Linked DNA regions of Rhinolophus ferrumequinum. The protein of the gene in region 3 binds, or shares a complex with, the protein of the main gene of each other region. Links are inferred from orthologs where the notes say so. Each region holds a gene or a part of one and is shown on either strand. Other genes may lie near its edges. The genes, in order: GTF2F1, POLR2J, GTF2E2 and GTF2E1.

Region 1 (7,914 bases), on a different chromosome or scaffold from region 3:
GCGTGAGCACCCACACATGCCACAAACCCTTCTCTCTCCTGGTGAGGACAGCGGCTGTGACGTGGGTGCCTCTCCACGACGCTTCTGAGTTTGCCTGAGGCTGTGCAGGATAAACGTTCATTGGTGATTCACTGCCAACGCTGTTATTTTAAACTTTGAATTCCATAAACTTCTTTTTTTACTTAACTTTTTTGTTTTAAGGCAATGATAGCACTAAGGCAAAAGGAGAGTGAATGTTACTTCTGTGGACGTAACTGTAAAACAAATACATACGAATACTAATAGCCTGGTTTTGGTATGGAACGATGGTCAAATAAGACGGCGCCCTTGGGGGGAGCTGGGTGAAGGATACAACAGGACCTTTCTACCATTCCGGCAATGTCCTGTAAGGCTAAAAAAGTTTTAAAAATAGTAAATGTTCTTCCGTGAGCCCCCTAAAATCATTGTTTGCAGGTGACACTTTGGGAGAAATATCGGCCCAGATAAATGGGCCTCCTAACTCTGGGCGTTCATTTTAGTCCAACCTGATTACAATGATCGGAGCTCCACAGGCTTTGCCTGGCTCTGCCCACTGTCCCTTGAGCAGACGGTGGCCAAACCTCCTGCGGGGCTTCCTGTGTATTCATTTGACATATGCTGCCCACCAAGGGCAGGCTAGAGTCTGAACAAACAGTCCTGCCCCCACTACCTATATTGTGTGACCCGAGGCAAGTTCCCCAATCCCTCTGTCAGAAAGCAGAATGCCAACAGTACGAGAACCGTTCTTCTAGAATGTTCTGGAAGATCACAGTTAACCTATGCAGAGTGTGGAGAACAGTGCTGGGCTCAGTAACAAGCTCAGGACGAGTTCATGTTGCTGTTACCATGGGGACATTCAGGCCCTGTGTTGCCAAGTCAGGCAATTTTTAAATTTTTTTTTTTTTATTGGGGAATATTGGGGAACAGTGTTTCTTCAGGGCCCATCAGCTCCAAGTCGCGGTCCCTCAATCTAGTCTTTGTCTTTCAATCCAGTTGTGGAGGGTGTAGCTCGGCTCCAAGTCCAGTCCCCATTTTCAGTCTTTAGTTGCAGGGGGTGCAGCCCACCATCCCATGTAGGAATTGAACCGGTAACCTTGCTGTTGAGAGCTCACACTCTAACCAACTGAGCCATCCGGCCGCCCCAGGCAATTATCAAGAGAAGTTGGGAGTTTTGATGTGGCATCTCCCGAGTTTTGAAAGTGGGCCACTCATTTAAAATTAAAAAAAAGGGTCAAACACTCTAGAGACAAAACTGAACACATTGGTGGATCGAATAGGGCCTGAGGGCTGGGAGTTTGTAGCCTCCGTTCTGAGACTTTGTGGCCATTTGTGGCGTCCATTCAGCTGGCATTTATGACTGGGTGCTTACTTTAGGGCAGGCACTGGCCCAGGGCTGGCGAGGGCAGAGGAGTCCACTAGCCCAGCCTTTCCCCTCAGAGCTCCCAGGCCGGGAGAGGGAGCCCATCACTTACCCTTTGACTTCGTCACAATGAGCCCCACAGAAATGCTTCAATGGAGGTGCGAACAAAGGGCAGGGCCCCACCCAACAGGGGACAGCTGTCCCAAGCTGGGTGACCTTTGTTTGATTCCCACCTGGTCTTTTTTGCTAGATTCTTCTTCTGGAATCTAGCAAGTTCCAGAAAAACCTGGAGGCCTACAGCCTGCCTCAATTTCTCTTTTCCTGCTCAGCCATTTTCAAATGCTCCAGTCCTTGCTGTTCAGGTGCCCGGATGCGCCTTTTCATAAAGTCAGCGTGGCTGACCTGTAAAAATAACCTGAAGAAATTCATTCCAACTTGTCCAGCACCGGCTGGCTCCTCCCTCATCTCTCAGCTAGCTCTCCAATATCCCCCCTTCAAGGGGCCATCTGAACCACCCAAACTGAAGTAGTGTCCCTCCAGGGTGTCATTCTGTCTTCTGTTCTTCACTACACTTATCGCTAGGAGAAATTTCTGTTTAGTTTTACACATGATGTATCTCTCTGTTTTTTGGCATCCTAAGAGCAAGGACCAAGCCTATCTCACGAATGCCCGAGTTCAGAGTCTGTCTTCATGGACTATTTGGGGAATAAATAGATGGACGAAGAATTATATTCCATTTTTATGGCCCAGAGATGCTGCTAAACACCCGTGCTACTCAGTGGGCAGGCACTGTGCAGGGAAATACTAAAATGACTTTGTCTTTGCCCTCAGAGAACTCTCTAGCTCTTCACCTGGGTTCTAGAAGCTTCCAACAACCTGACTCTTCCTTGATAATACAAAACTCCATTTCCCTCTGTTCATCTCCTCTCCCCTGAGTCTCAGCCCTTCTGATCTCCATCGTAGGAAGGGAGGGGGGAACAGCTCCACGCCTTACACCCTAACACCCTCACACAGTTTTGGGTCACTCACAATGCGCTCGAATTCCTTAGCTTGAATCAGCTCCCGAGGGAAGCCATCGATGAGGAAGCCCCGGCTCTCTGGGCAGGACAGCATTTTGTCATTGATCATATCTAGGATGATACCCTGGGAAGGAAAGGGGTGATGGGTCATTGTCCATAGGCCCTCACCTATGAGGTCACCTTGGCAAGTTGTCTTTCTCAGTCTGGACCTCTGATGAATTTGGGAAACACCTGCCCACCACCCAAGATTCCGAGTCTGCCCAATGCCCTGGGGCCTCCACAAGCTCTTACAAGAAGTAGGTACAGCGGCTGTCTACTGGACAGGCATCTACTGTGTGCCAGGCTGGCTGGGCCTCATTTGCTCATCACAGTCACCTTACAGGTAGGTACTGGAGTGACCTTATTCTGTGGGTGAGGAAATAGGTACAGAGGAGCCAATGATATATGTGCCCAGGGTCACAAAGGGAAAAAATACTAGCTAATTTTATTGAGTGCTTCATAAGTACCAGGAACTCTGCCAAGTGTTTTATAGGAATGATGTCATCCAAAGCTCACCACAGACTCTTGCTGTGGGTCTAGCTGCTCTCCCATTTTACAGATGGGGACACAGAGGTTCAGGGCAGCCAAACAGTGGCAAGGAGGGGAGCCACAGCCTTCCAGGCCCATCAGCTTCCACAGGGCCTTTCCGGGAAGTTCGTCCCCACGTAGCCCCTTCTTCCCTCCACCCCTGCACCCATGAGCTCTCACCGTGGGCACCAGGAGCCCCCGTAGCATGATTTCACGAATCTTCTGGCCCCGCCGGGTACCGCGTTGGGCCTCCTGCCGCAGCAGCTGGCCCAGCCCCACATGGCAGAAGCCATACTTTGTCGCCATGTTCTTGCACTGCGTGCCTTTGCCACAGCCTGGCCCACCCATCACAAAGATGATCAGGGGGGACTTGAGCATCTCTGCGGTGACCAGGGAAGAAAGAGGGAGACGCATTGGTGCCGGTAGGGGTCAGTGGGCACTGATGCGATTGTGTCCACAGCTTAGTGCATATACTGGACACAGTCCTGCTGGCATACCCACTTTTGCCTTAGGGTGGCATCTGAGAGTGTGTCCTGGCCCATTGGTGTATCCAGGCATGGCATGCGTTAGTGCTGCTGTGGGTTCAGTGGATGGTGTAAACCTGAGCAGGCTAGGCCCTTGTACACAGCATCTCCTGGAGGTGTCACAATGACTCTAACATCCCAATTTACAGTTCAAGAAACTGAGGCTCAGACAGGGGCAGGTCCATCCCCCAGACGCATTCCATACCACCCTCCCCTTCCTTCACTCCGGTCCAGCCCCCAGTGGTGGCCTGGACTCCTTTCTGTCCCTTGAACTTGCCAAGCTCATTCCCCCCTCAACTTTTCCCTAACTTCTAGGAAATCCCTGCCCCAGTGCCTTCAGGTTGCAGCTCACCCATCATCATCCCCTGTGTCAGAACCCAATTTCCTCCACAGCAAAGGCCACGATCAGTAATGACTTTGTGTACTTTTTCTTCTTTGTCTCCCTGCCAGACTGTACTCCATGAGGACAAGGACTATTTCTGTCTCACTTGTGCCTATATTTCTATATTTCTAGTAATTTACAGTTCCTGACATATAGTAGAGGGTGAGGACTAAGTGAGTGTCCACGACTACCGGCCATGTCTACGGGGTGCTGTAGTTTATGGTGGAATTTTGGTGTCTTGCTTCCCTCCACCTTTGCTTAGCCAACTTGTATGCATCCTGCTGGGCCCAGCTTAAATTTCCCCTCTTCCTTGAGCCCTTAGAGCCAGCTGTGCTTTTCCTGTAGTATTTCCTGAATTGTAGACACCGTTTTCTGAGATCGTCTCCTGCACTATACTGTAATCTCCAAGGGGACAGGGAGCTGGTTTGGCACAGTCACTATGGAGTGCCCAGAATCCAGCACAGCAACCGCTCAAGTCGATTAATGAATGGCTGATCTGTGAGCATGCGCAGTTGTATTACTACTATGGGGGGGCCACACCTGGACAAGTGGGATGGGGTACTTGTACCTTCCTCTTGCCCTCCACAGCCTCCTTCCCTTTCCCCCAGTAAGCCAGCCATCCCGCGATATTACCCTTCTCCTTGGGTCTCAGGGGCCTGCCCGTTTTGGGCAGCTTGGACTTGAACAGACCCATCCTGCCAACGACCCGTGGGGTGGTCGCGCCCCATCCCCGCTCAGGCCCTGATCTCTCCTGGCTCGGCTCAACGTCACAAGGGCACCTGTCCCAACCATTTAGCAAGATCATGGGGTGTCCGCGGAGCAGGGGGAGCAAATGAACCCCAAAAAGGTTCAGATGGAGTCGCGGCGTCTCAACGCGTCAGAGAAGGCCTCGGTTGCTATGGTGACGCGGCCTCCTTGGACTCACTTCCGGAGTGGAGCAGCGCAAGCGCAAGGCGCCGAGAGCCCGCGAGGGTGGATAGGTTTTCTCCGCTCCCAGGATGCCCCGCTGCCCTTGCGTGACGATCTCACGGGGAGGGCGTGCCCATATGTCATGATTAGATTAGCCGTCCTGTGTAAAGCGGTCATCCGGTGTGCGCGCGCTGGGGGCACTTAATTCAGACGCGGACTGCCTCGCCGCTCTGAAAGGGACCGGGAAACTAGGTGACAGCGCGTTGAAGGGCCCGGGGCAGAGGGGAAGTTGCCATCGTGACGCGGCCTGCGGGAGAGTTTCGCTTTCACGTTAGTCGGCGGCGCAGGCGCAGACGTGTTAGCAGCGGCCGCTGAGGCGGAAAGCTGACTGAGCGCCGCTTTCGGGTAGCTTTTCCCTGGATCGGTGGCACCACGGACTTGGGGTCCTCGATCCTGGCCAGTGACCCGACACCACGAGGGCAACTTCCCCCGGACAGAGGGTCGCGGACCCTAGAAGAGACGAAAAGGACCCGGATCGGATCAGACCCTAACCGCTGACCCTTGCCCATGGCGGCCTTCGTAAGTATGTGGCGGGTTTCAGGAGACCCTGCGGCGGCTTCTGCAGCCCCTCACTCGGCCTCTCGCTTTCTCTGTCCGCAGGGCCCCGGCAGCCATAATATCACTGAGTATGTCGTTCGAGTTCCCAAGTAAGTCCCAAATCCCACCTCCCACCCCCCACCCCCCAAAAAAGGGATTAAAACCTTCCCAAGCCTCTAGGCGTTCCCGGCGCTGCTTGTGATTCCACCTCCTGAGTGGCAGCGACCTGAGGGCGGGGCTGGGTTTGAGCTGAGGCCTATCTATGGCATCATTGTTTTTTGAACAGAGTGATGGAAGGAATGAATGAATTCTTAGTGCGTTAATATGCAGTAGGATGCAGCCCCTGGCCTAGTATTTCCTCTGCCAGGAATACCTTTTTCCCAGCTGACAATGCTGCTGCATTCTTGTTGATCCCAAAAATCCAGTTCCAGTATTTTCCTCCTCCAGGAAGCATTCCCTGCTTGCCCTCCCTTCTTCTCTCCAGGGCTGAGTTCCAAATTATCCCCACATCTCGGGTTCCCCTAAATCGTTGTCTCTTCTATATGGGATTGGGAGTATGGATCTGGCTCCGCTGACTGACTGGGAACCTTTGGGGTGTATTAAAGGCTCCCATCATTGCCTGGCATGAAGGGCTGAACTGGGGAGAGTTTGTTGGATGGATTGATTGAGCACTGCCTCTTCTTGCCCATTCCAGAAATACAACCAAAAAATACAACATCATGGCCTTCAATGCAGCCGATAAAGTCAACTTCGCTACTTGGAATCAAGTAAGTCCCTGTTCCAAAAGGGGTTAGAACTTGATCCTGGACTCGGTGGTTATAATAGTTGCTTAGTTGTAATAGTATCTAAGGCTTAGTTTTCTCAGCACTCCCCCAGTGCCGAAAAATGATGAATAGGGCCCGGGCTGAGCTGCTGGGCATCACTTTGAATAAGATTTGTTAGGCCCTGCAGGAGGCCTTCTGAAAGGAGAATATTTAGGGGTTGTGCCCACTGATGGGCATTTTGGGCCTAGATTTATCTGGGCAAGGGAAGGGGAGACAACCTGTAGATGAGCTCAGAGCCCCCGTTGTCAGAAGCTCTGGAAAGGGCTTTGGAAACTGTCTCAGTCCATTGGGGCTGCTCTGACAGAACACCATAGACTGGGTGGCTTATAAATAATAATAGACATTTATTACTCATAGTTCTGGAGACTGGAAGTCCAAGAGCAAGGCCCCAGCAGATTCGGTGTCTGGTGAAACCCACTTTCTGGTTGATAGACAGCAGTCTTCTCGCTCACCGTCCTCTCAGAAGGGGCGAGAGAACTCTGGGGTCTTTTTTTTTTTTTTTTAAGGACACTCATCTAATTCACCAGGTCTCCACCCTCATGACCTAGTCACCTCCCAAAGGCCCCACCCTTACATACCATCCCACTTGAGAGTTAGGTTTCAACGTATGCATTTTGTGGCGGAGACACACAAACTTTCGGTCTGCAGCAAAAACCACTAAGGGTTTGAAACAGGGTGTTGTAAAGTGATCTCTGTGGGGTTGAGGCAGATGAAGCAGGGTTGAGGCGATAGCTCTGGTCATGGTGAGCGATGATGGTCTCGAGGCAAACAAGAAGAGAAGCGATTGAATGATGGTGTGTTTTGGAAGTGGAGCCAACAGCGTTTGTTGATGGATTGGATATGGAGGGGTGAGCGCCAGGGCAGAATTATAGACATGCATTTCAAAATAATTTCTACTGCTAAATTGCCCAGAGATCGAAATTTGGAAAACCTCAGCCTTTAATGGCATCTGAATTCACGGGGCGGTCCAGAATCGAATGCAGAGAGAAGAGGGCCAGTTCCAAGCAGGTTGTTTTTCCTGACCAACCACAATGGTTTTACTTGTTGTTGTTTTTTAAACAAAATTTTTTTTTTAAAGATTTTTTTTATTGGGGAAGGGGAACAGGACTTTATTGGGGAACAGTGTGTACCTCCAGGACTTTTTCCCAAGTCAAGTTGTTGCCCTGTAAGTCTTAGCCGTGGAGGGTGCAGCTCAGCTCCAGGTCCAGTTGCCGTTGCTAGTTGCAGGGGGCGCAGCCCATCGTCCCCTGCAGGAGTCGAACCAGCAACCTTGTGGTTGAGAGGATGTACTCCAACCAACTGAGCTATTCAGGAGCTCAGCGGCAGCTCAGCTCAGCATGCCGTGTTCAATCTTAGTTGCAGGGGGTGCTGCCCACCATCCCTTGTGGGACTCGAGGAATTGAACTGGCAACCTTGTGGTTGAGAGCCCACTGGCCCATGTGGGAATCGAACCGGCAGCCTTTGGAGTTAGGAGCATGGAGCTCTAACCGCCTGAGCCACCGGGCCAGCCCCACTTGTTGTTTTTTTTAACTTACTTGGAAATAATTTCAAACTTTCAAAAGCTGCAAAAATAGACGTAGTATAAGAAAGGCTTGCCTGAATCCCTTCACTCACATTCACTGAGTGCCAACTTTCTCCCCCTGTTTGCCAAGCAGGAAGTTGGCTTGGAGTATCTGCAGCTCAGTCTGGGGGGGCGTATAGGGTGTTCTTGGGG
Region 2 (7,684 bases), on a different chromosome or scaffold from region 3:
TCGAGAGCTGAGTACCAGCACAGAGGCAGGCTCTGTGCCCACAGGCCCTGGCGAAGGTAGGTCCCTCCCATCTGGACTCTCAGGGTGGCCTGAGCCCCCTTCAGGGATGCTGTGTGTGGGGCTCCTGAGGGCCACTCCCAGGGGCCCTTTGGTCTTGGAGACAGGCACTGGCAGGCGAGGCCGTGCCTGCCTGACCCTCACTCTTCGTCTGCCTCCAGCCCTCGAGGACCCACTGGCCCAGATGCTGCAGGTTCTACAGGATCTCCAGGAGGCCCATAGCCGCAGCCCAGCCAGCTCTGAGCCCTTAGAGCCAAACTGCCTCCTGGAGCTACAGACGTGAGGTCTGTCCCACACTCTCTTGCCGAGCCCCCTGCCAGGTGCTTGGAGATCTCGGGTGCACTCTTGGTCCTTCACCTCAGTTCCTCTCATAGGGGTGCAGGACCCGAGTCTTTCCCGAGCTGGGGGAGTTTGGGAGGCCAGGGACCAGAGCGTCCAGACTTCAGGAACTGACAGGACTTGAGCCTGTCATTGCCCATGCAGAGTCTCTAGGGGACTCGGGCATCTGCTTCTCTGTGAGGCCTGGTTGCTCCCTGTGGGCCCTGCAGCCATCACCACCACTAGTCCAAACTCTCCAGGACCCTCCTCTCCTGCTCAGGATAGACCCAGCCAGAAACTATCCCTAGGAATGGCCGCACCAGGTGGACTGACACTTCCTGGGACTCAGAGAGGCGGGAGGGAACACAGGCCCCAGGAGACCAGGCCTGGACCTCAGCACCCACTTTACTCTCAGGCACCACCCTATCTGCTCCCTCACAGTGGCTGTGCCCTGGGAGAGCGTCACGGTGCTCTATTGCCAACAATAAACCTGATGTGACTGCGGCTCTGGGGTCTCGTGATGGGGGTCGGGAGGGAGTGGGCCCGGGAACCCCAAAGCCTGCTGGTGGTGGGGGGGGGGCACCAGCATAGTCTCTCTGCATCCCCGTCTCTTCTTTGCTTCCCCATCTCCCCTTTGCTTCCCCATCTCCCAGGGGGGCCTCCTTTCTCCTTCCAGCTGCTCTCCCCACCACGCCCCTGGTTCCCCTTCCTCCATCCCCCACAGGCTACAGAGCCTGACTTCGTTCACCAGCTGTTCTCTCCTTACAGCCCCCAGACAGGCCCTTTTTCCAAGTGTCCTGAAGACTGCACAGTGGGGGCGGGTTCAGAACCTGGAATCACGTGGCCTGGCCCTGGAAAGCGTCCCTTATGCCACCCTCCTTAGCAAAAGCAAGGCTCCTCTGCTTGTCACCTCCCTGTCCTCATCCCGCTCCATCTAGGTACACAGTAACCTCCAACATAATTAACAAGACTTGAGGGGCAGGGGCTTCCAGCACGTTCTTTGAATCTCATCCAACCAAGCTTCAAGCCTTGCCTGTGAATACTAGGCCTAGCACAGTTCCCAAGGGCCTGGGTCACAGGCAGGCCCCCTGACACAGCTGACCGGCCAGGTCCTGGGGCAGGGCCATCTGGGCTGGCTGCATAGTGGGTTCTTTGAGAGATGGCAGAGAAAGCAAAGGGGGCATGAAGGAACAAGGGGCTGCCCTCTTCCCTCTACCCTATGGCATTTGGGGCCATGGTGATCCTTTCTGGCCACAGCCTTGATGGGGGTACAGTGTCCTCCCATAAGCAGCCCACCAACCCCCGCCCCTTTATATGTTCATTGCCTCTTGGTCATGATGCCACCATCCTATGGACCTTACGAGCCTCTTTGCAGGGCTAGGTACCCCCCCACACACACACCTGCCTTCTTAACCCAGGGCTTGGGTCCAGCGCTGGATGAGCCCCTGGTTCTCTGGCTACTTCTTTAGAGTCACACAAATCCTTGTGCCTGTTGGATCTTCTTGGGTTTCAAGGACCTCAAAGGAAGTGTAGACCCCACTGTCTCCTGAGCCCTAGTTCAGGGAGTGAAGGGGAAAGAGGTGTGCACTTGTTGACTGCAACAAGTAGAATTCTGGATTTTAACAGCGCGCATACACCACCCACTGGCAACGCCCACCACCCTGTCCTCCAGTGGACACCGGTGTGGACGTGGCCACTGCAGCCAGAAGGGGAATTCAAATGAGTAAGGGCCTGGGACTGCCTCCATCGCTCATGTACCTCCACCCACAGAGTCGCCTCTCAGGCTCCGAGCCCCGGATGCCACATTGTTTTAGGAAGCCACCTGGGAAAAAAGGGACAGAGGAGATGCCTGCCTGCCCATGGCACAGGAAGGTGCCAGAGGTCACACCTACCTGCCCAGGGATTCTATACCAACACCCCCCACCCTGGGATTGCCAGGTCTGTTATTCACCCAGAGCCTGCGTCAAGTCCCCCAGATGTCTTAAGGGTCTGATTGGACCCTCCCACAGAGCCCTGCTGCCCAGGAGGCAGGCTGGCAGCGCAGGGCAGGCATCCTGGGAAACCCTGAGTGGGTCCAGCTCACATGGTACGTGCATCTTTCATCCTCTGGGCCTGTCCTGTAGGAAATCTGGGCAAATTCCCACCAACTTCCTTTTGGAAAAGTGTAATTCCTGCCAAAACGTAATTTTCAAGTACGTAAAAAGAAATAACTTACACAAATACAGAATAAACGTATCAGATATTTACACATCAAAGAGGAAATGAATGTTTGGTAAAGCTGGTTTGTAGAGCACTTTGAGAAGCTAGGTATTTGTAAGCATTTTGAGGAAAGAATGCTACAATAGGGCAGGCCCCGTCGCGGTGCAATTCCCACAGGGGCCAGTGAGCTGCGCCCTCTACAGCTAAGTTGTGAACAACAGCTCTTCCTGGAGCTGGGCTGCCGTGAGCGGCTGACCGATGACTGGCGACCGACTGCCTCAGCCGGGGTAGGGGGGTGGGGGGGCACAGGCTCATAACACCAGCATGGGCCAGGGAGCTGTGTCCTACACAACTAGACTGAGAAACAATGGCTTGAACTGGAATGGGGGGGGGAGGCAAAAGAGGGGGGAAAATAATACTAGAATAAATTGTGATGTTAAAAAACTGGGAAATGGAGTTTTCTTCTCTATGGGATACAAACCTACAAGTTCATAAATAACTTCAGTTTGATGATAAATAAAACATCAAAGTCAAACACAGGTCCATTCCCCAAGATTAGGGATTTTAAAGGCCCAGGCATGCAAGTTTTGGTCATAATTACTCTCAGAGCACAAAAGTAGCCATAGACAATGAGGAAACAAATGGGCTTGGCTTACTCCAACAAAACTTATTTACAAAAACTTGGCAGGCTTGATTTGGTTCACAAGCCCTCACCGTTTGACGATCTCTGCCATACATAAGTAAGCCTTGGTCAGGCCTGTTCAGCCACGCTCCAGTGTTACACTGACAGAACATGCCACACACACCCAATATTTATCATCACACGTCCAGCAGCCCCTTTCGCAGTGTGCCAGGCAGGCCTGTCTTACCAGAAGATAGGAACGGTCACTTGGCCTCCTCTTGGGGCACACCAAAATTGAGCCTCTGAAGGCTCGATTCGGGGAGGGCTGACATCTTCTGAAGCCCAGAATCTCGTGTTGGTCTGGGAATCAAAGGGTGAGTACGACCAGAACTCCCCAAGAGAGGACAGACTTCCACAGTGGAAAGAAGGGTGAAGCCTCTGCTGGGTAAAAGTCCTCTCCCCACCCTGTCCAGTTAAGGGCGGCCAGCCTCGGCACCTCCAGGCCCCTGCAGTCGTGGCAATGGTAGCATCCTTGGTCCAAACATTTCCAGGATGATCCAGGAGGGTAGGGGTGACAACCTTGGGACATCATTACCCTCATTGCCTTCTATTCTTCACCAGTTAAAGAGGCCTCCACCCACTTGACCTGGAGAGTCAAGGTTTCTGTAGATCTCCAGTGAATGAGGCTTCCTTACCCCAGGGCTCAAGGCTTAAGTAGGAAATGGCCCTTCCCAGGAAATGGTAGTAAAGTTCCAGATTTCCTTGGGGGCTCCTTGGCTGCTGCTCAGACCTAGGAAACAGCTGGGAAGCTGTTAGGGCTCCAGTAGCTGAGACTCCAGCCCCTGTTGCTCCAAACAGCTCAGGTAGGGCCTGTATACTAAGCTGTAGTCTGCAGGATATCAACCCAAACGGACGGTACACCTATCCCTCGCAGCGCCTCTCACACCTCTATACACCTGCCGTCTCCCTCAGCCCTCACCCAACTGTCTCCCTAATAAGCTCACTAGGACACAAGCCTACTTGGCAAGCCAGTGACAACACAGCCAGGGGCCTTGTAGCAATCTGCCCAGGCAGCCTTAGCAGGGGGCTTATCCGTACATAGCCGTCTGGCTTAAGGGATGGATACCCACGAGCCTGTGAGGTTTCTGTCAGCCCCACCAGACACACCTATCCACTGCCCCGTGGCTCCATTGTCCACTCGGGGACCTCTTGCTGTGCACTCCAAGGGCACATTTCCGAAGAGGGATCAAGGGACATAGGGAGAAGAGAGGTGGAGCCCAGGGCTGCCGCTTAGCCTGCACGAGGAAGTCAGTGCGCAGAGCAGCTCCCCGCTCTCCGAGCCTGCGCCACAGTGCGCTCCCAGGGGGGCGAACGCCACAAGGGACCTTCGCGGCTCACGCGTGCGCAGAGCCAGCAGCCGGCCCGGGCCCTCCGCGCGTTCTCCCGCCTGCGCGAGATCCCCCAGTCCAGTAGGGGGCGCCGAGCCGGGCCGTACACGTGTTCGGCCCCGTCGGCTAACCCGGAAGAAGTCGCGGGAAAGCGCCCTGGAGGTAGTGGAGAGTCTGCAGGACGCGGCGGCGCCAGGATGAACGCCCCTCCCGCCTTCGAGTCGTTCTTGCTGTTCGAAGGCGAGAAGAAGTAAGTGGGCAGGGGAGGGTCAGGCCTTCGACTGTCGGTCGTGGGCGTCTGCAGAGTCTGGGGCTTCGCCTGCTCTCCTGCGGGGCGGGCGGAAGCAGCTGTTGCTTGAGCTTCGGCGCGCAAAGCGCCCGGCGCCTGTGTCTGCCAGACTTCAGGTAGTCCTGCCAAGCGGTGGGGACTGTTGCCTTTGCAGCTGAGGAAACTGAGGCTCAGAGAGGTTACGTAATTCCCCGGCACAGGAAGTGGCGGGTCTGTGTTGGAACCCAGAATGGCTGCCTCCGAAATCCTTTTCCCCTGGGATTGGCAGCCCCCTCCTCGGCTCCTAGCTGACCACCTTTATTCTCCTTGCTGAAGCCAGAAAGAGATGGCTGTTAGACTCATGTGCAATCTCCATTCGCTTGTGTAAAACCTTCATTGCTTGCAGGCTGAAGGAAAATGTAGTCTGCTGGTCAGACAGCCTGGGCTTGGCGCCTGCTTCCCCCGCGTAAGGACCCTTGTTTGGGCAAGTGAATTAATCTGCCTGAGGCCCACTTTCATCATCTAGAAAACGGGCTTATTACTGTATTGAATTATGAGTAAACCTAAGGGGAGATTAAATGAGGTAACTTATGTGAAGTGCTTAGTCCAGGGCTCAGCATCTAGAAGACCCTCTTAAACATTGGCTTTTCATTCTCAACAGCCTGGTGTGCAGGGCTCTATGTTTAGCCCTTGCCAGCCACTTCAGCCTCCCTTGAGAGCAGTGCTTCTCAACTGGAGACTATTTTGCCCCCCCTCCCCGCCCCCCAGGACTTCTGGCTATGTCTGCAAACGTTTTTGGTTGTCATAAAGGGTGCGCTCCTGGCATCTAATGGGTAGAAGCCAGGAATCCTACAATGGACAGACAGCTCCCTACCAAAAAGAATTATCTGGCTTAAAATGGCAGTGGTGCCAAGGTGGAGAAACTGTGCTTTAGGAAGAAGGAGCAATCCGGAGGAGGTGAGGGTCCCACAGAATCGGCGTGACTGGGCTCAGAGTATACACTAACTGCTGCTCTGAGTCAGAGAGGCCTTTATGGGATGAAGAGATTGCGACAGGCTTCCAGGAGGTGGGACCCGAGCCTGCCTGGAAGGGCAGGCTTTAGACTCGGAGGAGGAGGGAGCCCCTGCCCCCATCTCTTGCCTCTGCGTCTTCCTAGGATCACGATTAACAAGGACACCAAGGTACCCAATGCCTGCTTGTTCACCATCAACAAAGAAGATCATACGCTAGGAAACATTATTAAATCGTAAGTTCCAAGTCCAAGGCTCTTGGGGGCTGTGTTGGATGGGACTCTGAGGCAAAGCACAAGTTCCAGAAGATTTTCTTAAGTCTCTTTGAGCTACAAGAAGTCCTTCTGATGGCTCGCTCTGGCAGTTCACTTTCCAGTACCTTTTCTTCAAAGGTACTGGAATCTGTTCACATAGCCACATTTCCTTTTGGCTCATTTATCTGACTGAAGTGAGTGAATGAATGTGCAGGAAGCCGCAAGTAGGCCTGCTTGTTTTTGTGCCTTTCTCAGGTTTGCGTGTTTAGGGTGTGGGCAGAAGCCTGCCTGGTGTCCTGGTGTAAGTAGGGGGTGGGGTTGCCCACCTGTCTGGATGACTCCTGCCTGAGCCAAGCCAGTGGGGCACTCAGGGTCTTTGGGGGCCTTGCTGCTCCTCTGCTGTGAGCTGTGTCCCTACCTTGCAAGGTGCTCACACTTGACACCTTGCTCTGCAGAAAACACCCGCGTGTCCAGCAAACAGCACAGGCTTCACCTCACCACCACCTCACAGAACAGCACCCCACGGGTGTGGGCAGCTGCCAGCCCCTTCCAAAGGACTTCGGTTTCCATTTTGCTAACTGCTCAGAGCTTGGGGCCTTCTCCCCCTGCTGCCTTTGTTTGCCGTGCCAGAGGCTCTTTTGGGGCTAGGAACGGGCCTTTTGTGTTTTGGTTTACTGAACATTGGCTGGATTTTTACTGCCTAGGGAGGTCTTTTTGGGGTCATTGCAGGGTCCCTGACTTCCCCTCGGGAAAGAAGTTACTGGAAAACCTGTTTATTAGCTAAGGTTCCTGATCCTGATGGATGTAGGGGTGTGTGTGGGAGGAATCACCATATGGTATATCTTCTCCAAAGTTAGCTTTTACTTGAAGACTTTTTTGGCGGGGGGCAGGGGGACAACTAAAAACCAAGTGTAGGGAACCACCTAGTGTCAGCCCCCAGCCACATCTGCAACAGGAAGACCCCTTGGCTAGGCCTGGTAAGCTCCAAGGGGCCAGAGCGCCAGGGGCACTCGGCTCAGCCTTGCTCACTGCTGACCCGTGTCGCAGGCAGCTGCTGAAGGACCCCCAGGTGCTGTTTGCTGGCTACAAAGTGCCCCACCCTCTGGAGCACAAAATCATCATCCGCGTGCAGACCACCCCGGACTACAGCCCCCAGGAGGCCTTCACCAATGCCATCACAGACCTCATCAGCGAGCTCTCCCTGCTGGAAGAGCGATTCCGGGTGAGGAGCTGGACGTGCAGGGGGAGAGGGGAGGTGGGAACGCCAGCCTGTGTGCCCAGAGCTGCAGGGCTGTCGTGCCCACACCTAGGACCACCCAGGGTTGTTTCCTCGGACTTGTGTGGGGGGAAGGGGTGATGACAGCAAGGACTTCCCCCACTGCTTCCCGGAAGTGTGGAGAAGGGGTTAGGAGTTGAGGCATGGCGCCTGCTGTCGGCGTCCGTGCGCAGGAACGGACCTAGTGCTCCAAGGTCTCCTTGTGCACTCTTGGGGTCCCTGCTGCCCCCTGCTGCTGCTCCTCCAAAGCTCTTCGCTGGTGCTGGCCGCTTCTAGGGCATCTGTCTAGGGG
Region 3 (7,514 bases):
CCGTTGAATAGAATGACTGGGATAAGTGGAAGATGACACTAGAAAATGTGTGCTGTTTGGAGAGGGTCTTGATGATAAATGGATGAGAAGATATTAGCAACATGGAATTGTTGATTGTTAAACGTTGAAGATTGTTCAAGGAGGAAAATGTCAAGGTGGGATTGGAAGATTAAAGTGAAAATAGCAAAAAAATCAAGAGTAGGATGGGGGAATCAGAAATGAGGCTGAGATTATCTTTGTGTGAGGTAATGAAGGACCTGCATTAGGGTGATTGCAGTGGGGATGGAAAGGGACATGTGTAAGAAAATGGGCAATGAAAGAGTCAACAGAATTTGTGCACTGATTGAACTTAGGACTTGAGGGTAAGAGAGGAGTCAAAACTAGCCCTGAAGTTTCCAGCCTGAGGGACTGGTGGAAAGATAATACCATTAATAGAAAGAGACAAGACAGGCAGAGAAACTGGTTTAAAGGGGGCAGGTGCAAAGTTTAGGACATGTTGAGTTTGTGGCCCCACTAGGGATCTGGAAGTTTAAAAGCTGGAGTTTAGGAGAAAAGGTCTTGGCATTTGTTTAAAAATTTACTGTTCTTTTGTTAAGATACTACTATATAAGTCCAAATTCTAACTATCCCTCTGAGTTATCCATAACTGGGTACTCTCATGTCTAGGTGCAGTGCACATGCTAATAACTTGTTTTTCTCAAAAAGAATTCTTTCCTCCCTTATGGGATGAATGCTAGAGAGGAAGCAGGGTCCTAGGGAGATTGTTTCAGGAGGGGCAGGCTGCATTAGAAAGTAGGGGGAAAGACTCCAAAGGAGGAAACACTATCAATGCTAGAGAAATCCAGGACAGGTGATGAGCAAAGTACTTATTTTAGCTCTTGGTTTGTGTGGATGTGGGCTAATTGCTTTGTCAGCTGTTTTGAGAATTTACATATCTAGTTCGTTGAGATGGATTGTGAGGTGAGGAGAGTTGAAAGGCAGTTATTACTTGATGGCAGAATGAAGTAAATTTATTTACTTTATCTCAGTTTTCCTCTTCCAAACAATTATGTAATGTAAAAAAATTAAAATATAAAATTAAGCCACTACATAAAAAAGAAAAGTTCTGATACACGCTACAACATGGATGAACCTTCAAAACATTGCAAGTGAAATAAGCCAGACACAAAAAGACAAATATCGTATTATTCCACTTAAATAAAATATTTAGAAGTAGGGCAAAGTCGTAGAGATAGAAAGTAGATTAGAAGTTACAGGAGGCTGTGGGGAGGAAGGAATGGGGAATTATTGCTTAATGGTTACAGAGTTTCTGTTTGGGATGATGAAAAATTTTGGGAATAGGGATGATGGTTACATAATATTAATCTAATGCCACCAAGTTGTACACTTTAAAATGGTTGAAATGATAAATTGTATCTTATTATGTTATATAGATTTTACCACAAATAAAATAGTAGAAAAATATCCACTGTATTGGAATTAATCCTGTGGTTATACTGAGTTGTGTATTTTGGGTGGGAGGGTTTGGATTGGTCATGAGAGAAGAATGTTTTATAAAATATAGAAAACATATTTCCCTCAAAAAGCCACCACGCTTTCTACTAAAAAGTATGCAGGGCATTATAAGCATTCATGAGATGAGACATAATTGCTATTGCATTAGTAGCTTGAATCATTCTTCATATAATTTGACACTAGCCACACCCTTCTGACCTGAAATACTAAAGATGCCAATATGTAGGTGGTTAAATTATAATAAAGGTTTGTTTAAGCATCAGTGGTGGAGACTGTGTATATCATACAAGTAGCCGTATCCCTATAAAGAGTTATGTCTCACAGCTTAAGGTGGGATATTTATCCAATGCCTTCCCTAAGCTCTGGCTAGAGGCTGCCCAGGTGGTGTCTACAAGGTATGATCAAACAATACAGTGAATGTTTAAATTAAAAAAAATGATCACAGTAAAAGACACATTGCCATTAATCCCCCTCAAATAACTCCCACTCGCTTTGAACACATCCCATCATTCTCGCCACTTTCTGAAGCAGTCCTGGAAGTCCTCTTTAATGAGTGTCATTAGTTGCACTGTCATGGCTGCCTCGATGTCCAGAATTGATACAAAACATTTACCTTTCATGGTCATTTTGACTTTGGGGAAGAGCCAGAAGTCGCACGGTGCCAGATCCAGTGAATAAGGTGGATGAGGATACACTGTAAAGTTTTTATTTGACAGAAATGACTGTACCAGAAGCGATGTGTGACACAGAGCCTTTTTGTTGTGATCATAAAATATAGTGAATGCTGCTGCCGAGTGCCATCCAACGGAAAGGCAGGGATCTTCAATATGAGAAGTGGCAAGTAAAACCTTAGTAACAGTGTGCGACAAGTTTCGACTTGTTTGGTGCAGTCAGGTGTGTGAGCTATGGTTGAGAGAAGGTGTGTTTTAAAGTGTGCCCTAAATCATCCTTCACCATGACAATGCTGTGTGTCACACATCACTTCTGATATACGGCAATTTCTGAATAAAAACATTACGGTGTGTCGCCATCTACCTTATTCACCAGATCTGGCACCGTGGGACTTCTGGCTCTTCCCCAAAGTCAAAATGATTCCGGACATCAAAGCAGCCACGACAGTGCAACTAAAGACACGAAAGAGGACTTCAAGAACTGCTTCAGAAAGTGGCAAGAACGATGAGACAAAGTGTGTTTGAAGCGATATGGAATATTTTGAGGAGGATTAATGGCAATGTATCTTTTACTGTAATAATTTAAACATTCACTGTATTGTTTGATCACACCTCGTATATTAGGTCTCTTACTCATTGTAAAGTAACCAGAAGAATGATAGAATCGTTTCCACAAGGATATGAAAAACTGGAATTTATATAATCACTAGGTAAAGAAACAATGAAATAAAAATTAATAAATTCATATAATACTGGCTCATGTTTCTCAGCACAATGCAATTTTAACCTTTGGGATTAATTTTTGTACTTGATGTCTGCTCCTTCTCACCATTACACCTCATCAGTTTTTTTACCAGTTCATATCTGGCTTTACTGGGTTGTAAAACCTCTGGGCCCTACTAAATTGTTACTCAAAGTTACATTTCCTGACGGTATTACATGAACATCAAGTGAGTTTATTACAAAATCCTCTAGAATGAAACAATTTTTAAGTCGCACAATCTCTTTTGGCTTTATTTCCAAGTTTTGAATAAAAATTTATGTGTCATCTCATTTAATCTTTGTAACAGTCTAATGCAAGTAACCCATTGTAGTACAGTTATTCCTTGATGAGAAAACCAACACAGGTTAAGTAACCTGAGTAACTAGTACTAAGTAATTAAAAGACAGCTACAGAATAGCTGAGCACAGGCTATACTGCTGCTTTGGGTTATAAAAGTGAGGGAAGGACATCGCAGAAATCTGACACTCCAATACATTGTAGACTGGGCAAGGCCCATTACCGTATTTTGCCATGTATAATGAGCACCCACGGTTTTGGCCCAAACTTTCAGGGAAAACTCATTATAATTTTTTTAATTCAAAATTTTATTAGTTTACATTTAGGTACTTGTTTTTCGTATTATAAAGGAATTTCAGCATTTATTTTTTTAACATGGTACAAGAAATTTTGTGGAATAATTACAAAACAGAAGAACAGATACAAGCAATAAGAAATTTTATGTACCGGTACAAACTAATATTTACCCATCATAGAAGGCCAAGAACTCTATCCTTGCAAGTTGTCATAAGTTCAACAAAACCGATTATCGTATTCCAGGGTACTATTTTGCATGCGGATGTGGTTATTGATTTCTAGAATTACACCTTTAACTCATAAGCATAAATAAATGAACGTTGATATAAATATGGAATTAGTACTACCCATGTATAACGCGCATCCTTATTTTTCCTTCAAATTTGAGCCAAAAGTGCGCATTATACAAGGCAATATACGGTACCGCTCGTTGCTTTATTCCTACCCCTTTCTGTTGCTTCTGAATCCGAAATCGTTTTCTAAGACTATTCACAGGTGTTGCGGTTTGGAGTTCAGAAACTGGGCTTCACGTCAGGATTTGCCTTTGCTAGTTGTGCTGTTTTGAGCAAGTCATTGAGTCGTTTCCCTGGGCCTCTTGTTTCCTCATTTGTAATAGAGCTAGAAGAATGTTCTCGGAAGTTAAAATTGTGGTAAAGTCACAAAATACCTAGTAGACAATAACTTGAAAAATTGCGTCGCCCTGTGGGTTAAAGAGATTCCCGAGCACGCTGGAGGAGGCTCTCGTAGCTTTAAATTTCCGCAAAGGAAAGATTTCCATCTTAGCTGCTGCTAACAGCCTCCCACCTACTAAGTCCCGTTCTCCACCCCGCCCCCAGCCCTGCTCCCGTTGTTATGGAGATCCGGAACGCCCTAGCTGGCTGCCGTTCCTCCCGCGGTACCCCTAACTGGGGGCGTGATGACGCACGCGCGTTCTAGGCTGTGAAGATGCCCCGTTGGCTGCCGGGACTGAGCTCTTAGCTAGTTCAGGAAGCGGCGGGCGGGGCACCCGGCCGAGTCGTCAGTGGTGCGGCCGCAGCCGCCGCTGCTACCGCCAGTGCGGAGATCCGGAGCTGGCGGGGCGGCGCTGGGCGTGCGTGCGGGCAGACGGGGGCGCTGAGTAGGAGCAGAAAGCGGCGGCCAGCGGGCGTCAGCGGCTGGCGGAGGCGGAGGCGGAGGCGCAGGGAGGCGGCGGCGGGTCGCGTGGGGCGGCCCACCTCGCTCAGGTAGGGGCTGCGGCCGCCGGGTGAGGGGCGCGGAGCTCCGGCCTGTTGTTCCTCGGGGGAGACCGCCTCCTCCCGAGGGGCGAGAGTGTCTTCCACCCCTCGGGAGGCTGGGTGCCGTTTACTACGCGGAATACAGTAACAACTTGTTGGGAGCATTGTCTTTTAGGCCGGAGGTTTTTTCAGCAAACTTTTGGGTTGTAAAGGGAAATTCGCAGTCGGGTGGCTGCTGGTGCCTCTTCGTAGCCCCCAAGTTTACCTTGGCAGTGGCCGAGCGAACCATGTGTGTGGAGTTTGGGGACCCACCGATGTCCAGCCGACTAAAAGGCTGTGATTTAGAGGCTCGTTCACGGACTATTTTTTAAAGCTGCCTTGTGGCGACCTGGTTTGTAATGATTCCTAAACTTTAGTTATAATTGTTTTCTGTAAAGTCCAAAGACGTTTTCCAAAACAAAACGCTGTGGCACATTTTTCTCCCACCTTTGCATTCTGTCACTTAAGATGTAAGCAGTCTCTTTTCTTACCTTGCCGGCTGTTCGCCAGTGGCACCTCTGAGGCTTAGTTAGGGACAGAAGCAAAAGAAAGTAGAAGGGTTGAAAGAAGTACCGTAGGATGAGACGGTGGGAAGAACGTGGGCTTTGGAGCCGGAAGACTGTGGCTTAATTTTTGCTTCTCAGTGTCCATCCGTGACACGTGGGCACATGAACTCCCTGAGTTGTGATGTTTGTTTAATGTACAAGGGCAGGGTGATGTGTCCTGTCTACCACACTAGTCAGTGCATGTAAAACTACAAATACTGAGTACGGTCGCCTTCTAACAATAGGAAGGGAAAGTTAGGCGGAACATGCGATGGTGAAAGGTAGACATGAAGCCGCCTGCTCTGGGTGCCGTTGAACATTACCCCTACCTGTCCTGGGTTTTAGACGCCTTGACCAGCATGGAGTAGGAAGATCTCTAAACCAAAGTACCTGGACCAGGATCCAAATATCCTGACTCCTAAATCAAGTACGTGTTCCTTACTCCACACCTGAAATGCTGGAAAAGGCCTTCAAGCTTTAAAAGGCTCTGGAAAATAAATCCTTGCCTTCAAGCAGCTTACATTTGAGAACATGAAAGCATCCAGCACTTCCTTTAAAAGCAATGAATAAATAAAACGTGACCTCGAGTGTTTTAGAGTTAGGATATTTGGTCCAAGTACTTCTTGCTGTGTGACCCTAATCATACCTCTTCACTTCAGATTTCACATATTAAAATAGAAATAAAACAGATAACCTATTTTCTACTGGAGATGTGAGGATCAAATGCTGTAAGCATTTAGATCTTTGTAAACTGGAAGGCTTTTATTTATGTGTTATGTTAAAATCATGATTAAAAGCCTGGGTTAATTACCTTGTCTTTACAAGGTGAAATAAACAGGTGTTTCCTGTTTTGGGCTAGTCGCCCCCCACCGTATCACTTGTGAATTCTCTTGTCCCTCGCTGCCCCTCTCCCCAAGACTGTCTCCTATCTTCCTTACCCCAGTATAATCATTCTGTTCATTTCTTTTCAGATCCAATAAAATAGTAATACTGAAATAACATTTGTATAGTTTTACTATTTGAAAAATCGCTTTCTCGTTTTATTCTTACAATTGGGCTAGATGTAGACAGCGTTGGTAGTATCCTCATTTGACTTACAATAAAACTGAGTTTATGAATCGCCCAGGGTCATGTTACTGTTGGGGATTAGAACTGAGAGGGAGAACGTCTTTGATTTGAGGTCCAGTGCCAGTGACTCTTCCTTTCTTACTTAACTGGTTTACTCTGATTATTTATTATCAGTGCTTATATTTTTAACTTTTAGCATGCTAAATCACATTCATTTTTTTAAGTGAGGTGCTCAATGCTTTCATGTTCTCAAATGTAAACTTCTTGAAAGCATGGATTTATCTTCTAGAACCTTTCAAAGCTTGGAGTACAGTGACTCACAAACAGAAGACATTTAATAAAGACTCATGAAAGCAGTAACAACGAAGTTAGAGCAATTTAAAGATGTTTCCCTGTTCATTATTCACTTAACAAATATTTATTGAACTACCCCGGTGCTTGAAGGTTTTGAAAGTGTAAGATAGTGTTTTTCCTCTGGGACCTTCCTTCCCGACTTATGAACACTGGTCTCAACAGTGCACGAATCATTTGCATAGTCAGCTTGTATGCTTCCTAGAGTCTCTCTATAGGATTCTTGAGAGGATTCAGACAAGAGAGGAATGTTTTAAAATACTTGTTGAATGATCTGTGGCTTCCCTGGTTGTATTGAAGTGTCTCACAATTTTAGAGTTTTAGAACTGAGAAAAAACATGAAGAGGTTTAGTCCCACCTCGCTCCAAATCAGGAATTTTCTGTAGATATTTCTACCAAATATTAATCCAGCCTCTTCATCACATAATGTTGGAGAGTTCACCAGTTTTAAGATACACCTTTCATTTATAAGCAATTCTGATGGTTCTGTCTCTCTCTTTTTTTTTTTTTTTGCAATGAGCCTAAATCTGCCTCCTAATTTCTACCCAGTAGTTCTGATGTTTCTAAGCAGCATTGTAGAGATACAATGTGAGCTGCAGGTGTGAGCCACATGTGTAATTTAAAATTTTCTACTGGCCATAGTGTTTTAAAAAGTTAAAAAGGGGAAATTAGTTGTATTTAATCCAGTATATCCAAAATATTATCACATTAACATGTAATCAATCTAAAATATCTCGTTATTAATTTTAAAAGT
Region 4 (7,406 bases), on a different chromosome or scaffold from region 3:
ACTCACCATTTCACAGTTCCATATTTAGATACCCCAATTCTCTCAGACAGTGATTTTTAAAAGGAAGCTAACCACATGGCCTAGCTTTACCCTTTGGAAAAAGAGAACTCTCCTCCTTATCACTTACGTTTACTTTTTATTATAAAGTTACATTTACAGACAATCCAGAAAGTATTTTTAAAAAAGGGAAAAATCACCTGACGAGCACTATTGTCAACATAAAGGTTTATTTAATTCCATAAGCACGGTTTTTCTTTTTTCCTGTTTATATTATTTGTTTTTAAAAATATTTTTATTAAAAATATAGCTAACATACAATATTATATTAGTTTCAGGTGTACACCACAGTTATTCAACATTTATATACCTAACGAAGTAATCACTCTGATAAATCCAGCAACCATCTGACACTATACTAAGCTATCACGATATTATTGACTATATTCCTCATGCTGTACATTACATCCCCATGACTTATTTGTTTTATACCTGAAAATCTGGACCTCTTATTCTCCTTCCTCTTTTCTCCCCTTTAAAAATTTTTCAATTACAGTTGATATTCAATATTATTTTATATTAATTTCAAATGTACAGCATAGTGGTTAGACATTTATATAATTGAAGAAATGATTTCCCTGACTAGCTTAGTACTCACCTGGCATTATCCATACTTATTCATAAGCAGGGTTTTTCTATAAGCAGGTTGTTATTGTGAATATATACAGTGTACTTAAAAAATAATAAAACATAAGCTTTTGTTTTCACAGCTGGTTCTGTCTGGAATATTCTACCCATCCCCCTCCTCCATTTCTCCTCCATTGGCCTGCTGAATTAATCTGTCAAGACTCAGCATCACTCTAGTTATAAAATCTTTTCTGACTCCACACAGGTAGAACTAAGCACATCATCCACCATCCTCAGGGTCTCCACTGTACTTTCTACATTTTTCTATAGAACACTTAAAATAGATTATTACACTAGTTTATAGGTTTTATTCACTCTGTTTAGTTTTAATTTTCTTGACGATTGGCACTGGGTTTTACTCATCTTTTTTTTTTTTTTAAATTTCTAGTACTCAGAATAGGGCCTTAATTAGTATTTATTTAGTGACTAAAATTTTCCATGTTATTACAGAATCTTCCTAAACATGTTAAATGTCTCCAATTTAACCATTCCCTCATTATTCAATACTTAAGGGGTTCCGAAATTTTCACTATGCTAAGAAAATATTTCTGTTTAAACTTGTTTAAAATTAAAATTATTTCCATAGTATACCTTCCCAGAAGTGAAATTAATATGTAAAAGGAAATAAACATTTAAAGTTCTTGATATATACTGACAACTTTCATCTGGTTACTCTGCCATCAGCCTGCATCACTGGATGAACTCTATAAACAGCAAGGTCTTGTTGCATCTCAACAATATCATCTATTTGTTTTTTTCATCTTTATTAATTTGATAAGAGGAAAAAAAGTGACATCTTGCTTTAGTCTGCATTTCTTTACCCCTTGGTAAAGATACACATTATGATCATCTTTGCTAATCAGTTATCTTTCCTCTCTTACGAATTATCTATCTACTTATCTACTGGGTTTTAGTGTTATCAATTTACATGGCCTCTTTATGTATTAGCGGTCTCATGTAATTGGGTTGGTGCAAAAGTAATTGCGGTTTTTGCAATTATTTTCAATCTTGTAAACTGCAATTACTTTTGCACCAACCTAATATTTCCCCAGATTTCCCTTTTATTTTTTATTTATTTATTTTTTTTGGAAACAGACATTTAAGATTTTTGTGTACACAAACATAGTTTTGTCTCTGTATTTATTACATTACCTCTGTGATCTTTAGGGCATATTGTTGACTTTTGTGTTTGCATGTAAGTTTGTTTATGTATATTGGAGGTATATATCCAGGCATTTAGTTATCAGCCTGGTGCAAGGCTTGAGCTTCTAGTTAAGCTTAACTGTGTCAGAGTAAGCATCTTCATGCAGTAACATTGTATAACTCTCCATGAATTAACTGCTTTGAGTGGTAAGAGTTAGTTAACACTGGATGAACTCGAAACAGTAAGAAAAATTGAAGTAACAGAAATAATGGTTAACTATTCATTTCTTTAAGAATTGTGGGAGGTTCTGATTCTATTTTCACCATTAGAACTAAATTATAATAGATTTAAAAATGCATTGATTTGCTGGGGGGTAAAAGGCCCAATATAATTACATAAATACTACTCCAAATATAGTTGTTGGTAATGTACTAAGCTCATCCATTATCGCTGAAGGAACAAAGAGAAGTTGGTACATGCATTTTAGTGAGACTTTCAGGATTCCTTACTGAATTATCAAATATCTCTATGGGATACAAGACAAATCTCTAAATCCCAAGTCATTCTTTTATATATTTGTGAAATCCTTAAGATTTCATGAGGGAAATAAGTCTTTGTTCAAAGGTAAACTTTGAAGTTTGAATACAAAGGCAGACGAAGTGTAAAAAGTATATTCTAACCTGGCAGATAGCAAATCACTGTTAAAAGAGAACTGATAAAAAGGCAATTGACTTTGTACACATAATCTAACATTAGTGAATGTGTGACAAGATCAATCACTTTCCGATGGATATGGCTGTGTCTTCTCTTTTACAACTAAATTATAATGAAAAAAAAAGCTTATTAATTGCCTGATCACTTTTCCACATTTAATGCAGCAGTCAATTCAACTCTGATATGTAACACATTGATTCCACAGTTATAACCCCAGCACCTAAAACAGTGCCGGCTATGTAGTAGCCACTTAAGTTTTAGAAAAAAAAAAATTGACTAGTTCCAATAATATGTAACATGAAAGAAAGGATTATTAGAGGCAACAGAAAAGGGAATTATAAAAAAGAGAGAACATCCACTTCAAATATGATGTGTTAGCTCTGTATTCCAGTTCTAAGTCCTACTTGGTGATACTCTTACCAAATCCCTTTAGACGTCTACACTATTACTTTCTTCAACTGTAAAACTGAGTGATTTTATTAAATTAACTTCAGCACCACTTCAAGCTAGAGAACTGTATTTTATTCATAGAATTTCATAATGCAACTTAACGAGAATTTTAAATAATGCTTTCTGTAAAATATTTTGTAATGTAAATAATCTTTGGGCAATGTGAAAATGTTCTCAACCTCCTCCTCAATCAGACAATGTTCTTTAGTGCCGTAAAGGTAGTTTTCAAGCTCTGGGGTAAGTGCTCTCTATCTCTAAGCATCTGGCACAATGTCTTTGCTCACAACACACTTTCAAAGGTCAACTCCAGAAAAGCACATCTATGAACTGAAAGGTTAGCATTTATTCCAAGTTCTAAAGGAGCACAGGAGTGGAGGCTATGGTGAGAAAGGATAGTAAGGTGAGAAGAGGGAATGCAGAATTCAATTCTAGTTCTCAAATGTCCAAGGTGTCAAAAGAAGAATTTTAACATTAGGACAAAACTGGGCTCAGCATTAAGTCCTAGCTACTACATAATATGGCCCTTACCTTAATGTCTCTATTTCTTACAATCTAGCACCTAACAGGTTTTCAATTAACATCAAAGAGAACAAAGAAATCAAGAAGCCCAGTAGAGAGTAAAACAGGACTACCACTCGATATTTCATTTCATAATATAGTTTAGTGTTTAAGTACGTGGCCTCTGGGTTCAAACCGGTTCTGTCATTTATATCTCTCTGCTTCACTTTTTGTCATCTGTGAAATGGTGTGATAGGGTTGATCTCGGGATTAAGTGAGTTAATATATGCAAAGCACTTAGAAGAGTCTTTTTTTTTTTTAAGTGCACGTTTGACTTCCTTAATAAACAAACTCTTGAAGGCACAGTCCTAACTTCTGTCTTAGCCCGGCGCCCAATACAATGCTCAATGTCTGCATATCTTTTAAATAAAAGGAACTGACAATATACACTAGGCTACGATCGCCCAGGAGATTGACGTTGAAAGACGCGAAGGCCGAGAAGGGCCGGGACTCCACGACCCCCATCCGCGCGACGCCACCGCTCCGTCAAACAGAGCAAAGTCCTCTGGGAAGTGTAGTCATTACGCCTTGGGAGGGATTTCAGCCACGGATCGGAGTCAGTTAGTTTGCGGGGCGGGGGGGAAGGGGAGTAGTAGTTATCGGATAACTCAAAAGTGTCGGGAGCCCCAGAGGTGGGTTAAGCAGCTCACCTGAGTCTCCCAACACCAGTACTTTCACCCGATCCAGGGACGCCATCTTGCCATTGCCTTCCTGGGGTTAATACCAGTTCCGGGTTGTAGGCCAATCAGAGCTGGGCATGGAGGGCCGAGCCCTCAATTTCATTGACCAATCAGAGAATGACCATCTTGATTGAAGGCTTCACTGTGCTGATTGGCCGGCCTGGTTAAAAGAAGCGGGTGGTTTCCAAAGCTGGTCGCAGGAATAAAGCGTTTTCTTTGTCGCTCGAGTGGCGTGACACGTTTAAGCCGGTAGTTGAGGCGCTGAGGGAAGCTGTAGTGGGAGTGTTCGAGGATTCGCTTTGGTAAACCTTGTTCCCTGTTTCTTGTTCTCGGTTCCCTGGCCCGGAGTCGCATTTCAGGGTTTCTCTTCCTTTTCGCTCCTGGCCCTTAGCCACCCTCCTCCCCTTAGCTACTCTCTTGACTTGGTCCTCCAAAGAACCATTGACCCCGGAGCGTCCCGTGTGCGACCTCGGGTAGGACGGGCTTGGCTGCGCCGAGTGTGGCCCCTGGACTCAGCTGGCAGAGTCCGAGGAAATGTGGGGTCTCGCAGTGGGGAGGAGCGCACGTTATTGAACCCGGCTCGTGGAGGGCCGCTGGGTCCAGAGTTCGCGGTGGTATGCAGCTGTATATTTGAAGGCGTGGAGAGTACCATGCAATATGGTAACTGAGAAAACCATTTAAATGTGTAGGATCCAAGTTATTCCACAACTGGAGTAGTAGTATGCTGAAAAAAATCTAACTGGACCTACCCCCCCCATCCTATCCTTTCTCCTTTTATTTTACACTCTGCAGTCAGCATAATCTCTTAAAATTGCGAATTTGATCCTGTTACCTGCTGCTTAAAACCATTTAAAGTTTAAGAAGAGGGTTTCCAGTAGCTTTTTCTAACTCTGGAAGCAGCAGTGGAGGAAGTAAATTGGGGGGAAGCTGTCCGGGTGGGCATGTTGGAAGAACGCGTGCTTAGGACATCTATTGAAAGTTTTATGGAAGTAATTTGACTAGCTGTGCTGGATGCTGGAAAGTCAGTGGTGAACAAGATTGAGTTCCTGGTCTCAGAAATAATCGGAGAATTACAAGGTTATTCACTGTAACGAAGAAGGTTGGGAAAGAGCTATGGGAACTTGTGAAAGGGGTTAATACTAAGCTACTAAGGCGTATCTGGGAAGGTCTCTTTGAGGAACTGTCACTTGAGCTGTGGAGGATTATTAGGAGAAGAAAGTTTAGGCAGAGAGAACAGCATGTGCAAAGGCCGAAAGTGGGGAAGGCGTGTGTGGCACGTGGAATTGAGATGACGCTGACAAGGGTAGACAGAGAATGCATTCATTTAAATTTTGTTTCTGCAACTGTGCTTGGTACACAGTAGTTCTTCAGTGATTGTATGATTAGAATATATATGATTTAAAAACAAAAGCAACTTGTCTTTGGGGGTCTGTGCTGGGTAGGGAGGTATGTAAGACTGCGAGGTGACTGAACCTCAGGCTAAAGATGGAAAAAAGGCTTCCCCTAAGAGGTCACGCACTTAAAACTTTCTAGAGGCTAGCCAAGTGACAGCTGCTTTTCAGCTGCAAGTTATCGTTTCCATGTGGGAACATGGTCTCACTTTTCCTCAGATAGTTCCAATTTTCAAGAGGAGCTGAAAATTGAGATTTATGTGAGATCCCACTATTTTAAAATGTTGACGACTGATTCAGAAAATTTTCAACAGTCTTTGGGTCAGACAGTATAGCAGAGGCTGCCAGTTAGAGACCTCTGACCTAAGTAATTTAAGGAATCCAGAGATTGAGTAGGAGGTTTAGCATATGTGGGGAAGTACAAGTGATGGAAGAGAGAAGGTATTGGTCAGGGAGGATTTTACAATGTAGAGATTTTGAACAAGATGACTTCTTTCCTGAGCTTCAATTTCATTTGTGCAGCTACCTACTGGATGGACATCTTCACAGGACTATTCCATGGTATTTCCTCAAAGTAGGCAACTAAAAGTGAATCCCTCAATTCCTTCCAAACCTGTTCCTATTCAGGCGTTAACCTATTTTTCATAGTAGTAGTTTTCCTAGTTACACTGGCTTAAAACAAATAGCTATATGTTATTGTTTAATAAAATATTGTTTGATGGTATAGTGTTTCAGTTTTATAAGATGAAATATATGGAGATGGATGGCGGTGATAGTTACACAGTAATATGAATGTATAATATCACTGAACCGTATGCTTAAAATGGTTAATTGGTAAATTTTATGTGTAGTTAACCACAATAAAACTATTATTAAAAAGCAAATATTTAAAATTTTTCTTCCCTCTTACTCCATTTCCAGTATATTACTAGATCCTCATTTTGATTTTGTTTCTGTAATAAGTTTCATTCCTGAAATTTTTTTGCTGTCTTTCTTAGTTCAGGTTTGATTATAACAGCTCCTAGTCCTTCCTTAATCCTCCATCTTCACTTACCTCAGGCCATTCCTCGTATTATTGTCACTTTTCTGCATAGGGGCTCTTATTATGAATGCCAGTACTTAATGGAACTCTTATGATGTTAGCCTTGAAAGCAGCATACTATACATGAATTATCTCATTTAATCCACACATCAATTCTATGAGGAAGGCACTGTTAATCACTTTTCACATATGAGGAAACTGAGACTGAGGATTTTCCAGGGTCACAGGCTGGCTAAGAAATGGGGGAACTGGGATTCACAATCCAAAACTATTGGACTGCAGAAACCTCATGTCACTCCCTGGCTCAAATCTTCAGGACTCCCTAAGGTGTTTCAGGCAAAGGAAACAGGCTGAGTAAATGGCGCAGGGTTCTTCCCATGCTGTGTACATTGGCAGGACATGCTATAGCCAGGTATCAGATTAGTCTGGAGCAGGGGTCGGGACTTTTTCTAGTAGAGTCACCTAAACAGCTTTTAAAATAAGATGATGCCTAATCTGACCCTCCCAGACCAGCTGAAACAGAATCTCTGGGAATGGGGCCCAGGTGAGTACTTTTAAATTCTCCCCAGATGATAATCCTTAACAGCCAGAGTTGAAAACCATTGGTTCCGGAAGATGGAGTGTATACAATGGGAGGTCAGGGAGGGGAATGCAATAGTAGGAAATAATACTGGAAAAATAGGTTATTTTGACGTTTGTCTGCCATTCTTTGATCTGTTGGGTATTTCTGAAGCCATATGTTA

What was found.
Region 1: GTF2E2 (region 3) and GTF2F1 share a complex: the UniProt entries of both Homo sapiens proteins name them as parts of the TBP-based Pol II pre-initiation complex. The link is inferred for Rhinolophus ferrumequinum from reciprocal best matches to the Homo sapiens genes GTF2E2 and GTF2F1.
Region 2: GTF2E2 (region 3) and POLR2J share a complex: the UniProt entries of both Homo sapiens proteins name them as parts of the TBP-based Pol II pre-initiation complex. The link is inferred for Rhinolophus ferrumequinum from reciprocal best matches to the Homo sapiens genes GTF2E2 and POLR2J.
Region 4: the proteins of GTF2E2 (region 3) and GTF2E1 are in contact, whole or in part, in a crystal structure (PDB 5GPY), measured with the Homo sapiens proteins. The link is inferred for Rhinolophus ferrumequinum from reciprocal best matches to the Homo sapiens genes GTF2E2 and GTF2E1. Residues at the interface, in NP_002086.1 of Homo sapiens: Asp159, Gln160, Arg161, Gly162, Leu163, Gly164, Gly165, Leu167, Leu190, Val192, Asn193, Arg194, Pro195, Ile200, Phe202, Cys208, Gln209, Phe210, Ser211, Val212, Asp213, Glu215, Phe216, Gln217, Leu219, Trp220, Arg221, Val223, Thr224, Val225; in NP_005504.2 of Homo sapiens: Arg16, Lys19, Tyr20, Val21, Arg23, Gly24, Phe25, Tyr26, Ile28, Glu29, Leu32, Arg39, Leu51, Leu52, Lys53, Phe54, Asp55, Gln58, Gly68, Asp69, Lys70, Phe71, Lys73, Thr98, Asn101, Val102, Val103, Lys104, Tyr105, Lys106.

The regions. Positions count from the first base shown.
Region 1 is NC_046301.1:57,926,569-57,934,482, forward strand, and holds the start of GTF2F1 (general transcription factor IIF subunit 1), read left to right. Parts: upstream 1-4,914; 5' UTR 4,915-5,109; exon of another isoform or gene 5,110-5,188; 5' UTR 5,189-5,346; coding exon 5,347-5,358; intron 5,359-5,439; coding exon 5,440-5,486; intron 5,487-5,981; exon of another isoform or gene 5,982-6,070; coding exon 6,071-6,143; intron 6,144-7,914. Other genes in the region: adenylate kinase isoenzyme 1, read right to left, coding at 2,408-2,521, 3,145-3,344, 4,504-4,675. UniProt on the Homo sapiens protein: TFIIF is a general transcription initiation factor that binds to RNA polymerase II and helps to recruit it to the initiation complex in collaboration with TFIIB. It promotes transcription elongation.
Region 2 is NC_046290.1:92,243,702-92,251,385, reverse strand, and holds the start of POLR2J (DNA-directed RNA polymerase II subunit RPB11-a), read left to right. Parts: upstream 1-4,684; 5' UTR 4,685-4,781; coding exon 4,782-4,834; intron 4,835-6,008; coding exon 6,009-6,098; intron 6,099-7,163; coding exon 7,164-7,338; intron 7,339-7,684. Other genes in the region: RASA4B (ras GTPase-activating protein 4B), read left to right, coding at 1-56, 219-340. UniProt on the Homo sapiens protein: Core component of RNA polymerase II (Pol II), a DNA-dependent RNA polymerase which synthesizes mRNA precursors and many functional non-coding RNAs using the four ribonucleoside triphosphates as substrates.
Region 3 is NC_046287.1:67,078,090-67,085,603, forward strand, and holds the start of GTF2E2 (transcription initiation factor IIE subunit beta), read left to right. Parts: upstream 1-4,500; 5' UTR 4,501-4,766; intron 4,767-7,514. UniProt on the Homo sapiens protein: Recruits TFIIH to the initiation complex and stimulates the RNA polymerase II C-terminal domain kinase and DNA-dependent ATPase activities of TFIIH. Both TFIIH and TFIIE are required for promoter clearance by RNA polymerase.
Region 4 is NC_046285.1:46,086,468-46,093,873, forward strand, and holds the start of GTF2E1 (general transcription factor IIE subunit 1), read left to right. Parts: upstream 1-4,403; 5' UTR 4,404-4,532; intron 4,533-4,541; exon of another isoform or gene 4,542-4,890; intron 4,891-4,913; exon of another isoform or gene 4,914-6,195; intron 6,196-6,235; exon of another isoform or gene 6,236-7,207; intron 7,208-7,406. Other genes in the region: RABL3 (rab-like protein 3), read right to left, coding at 4,201-4,246.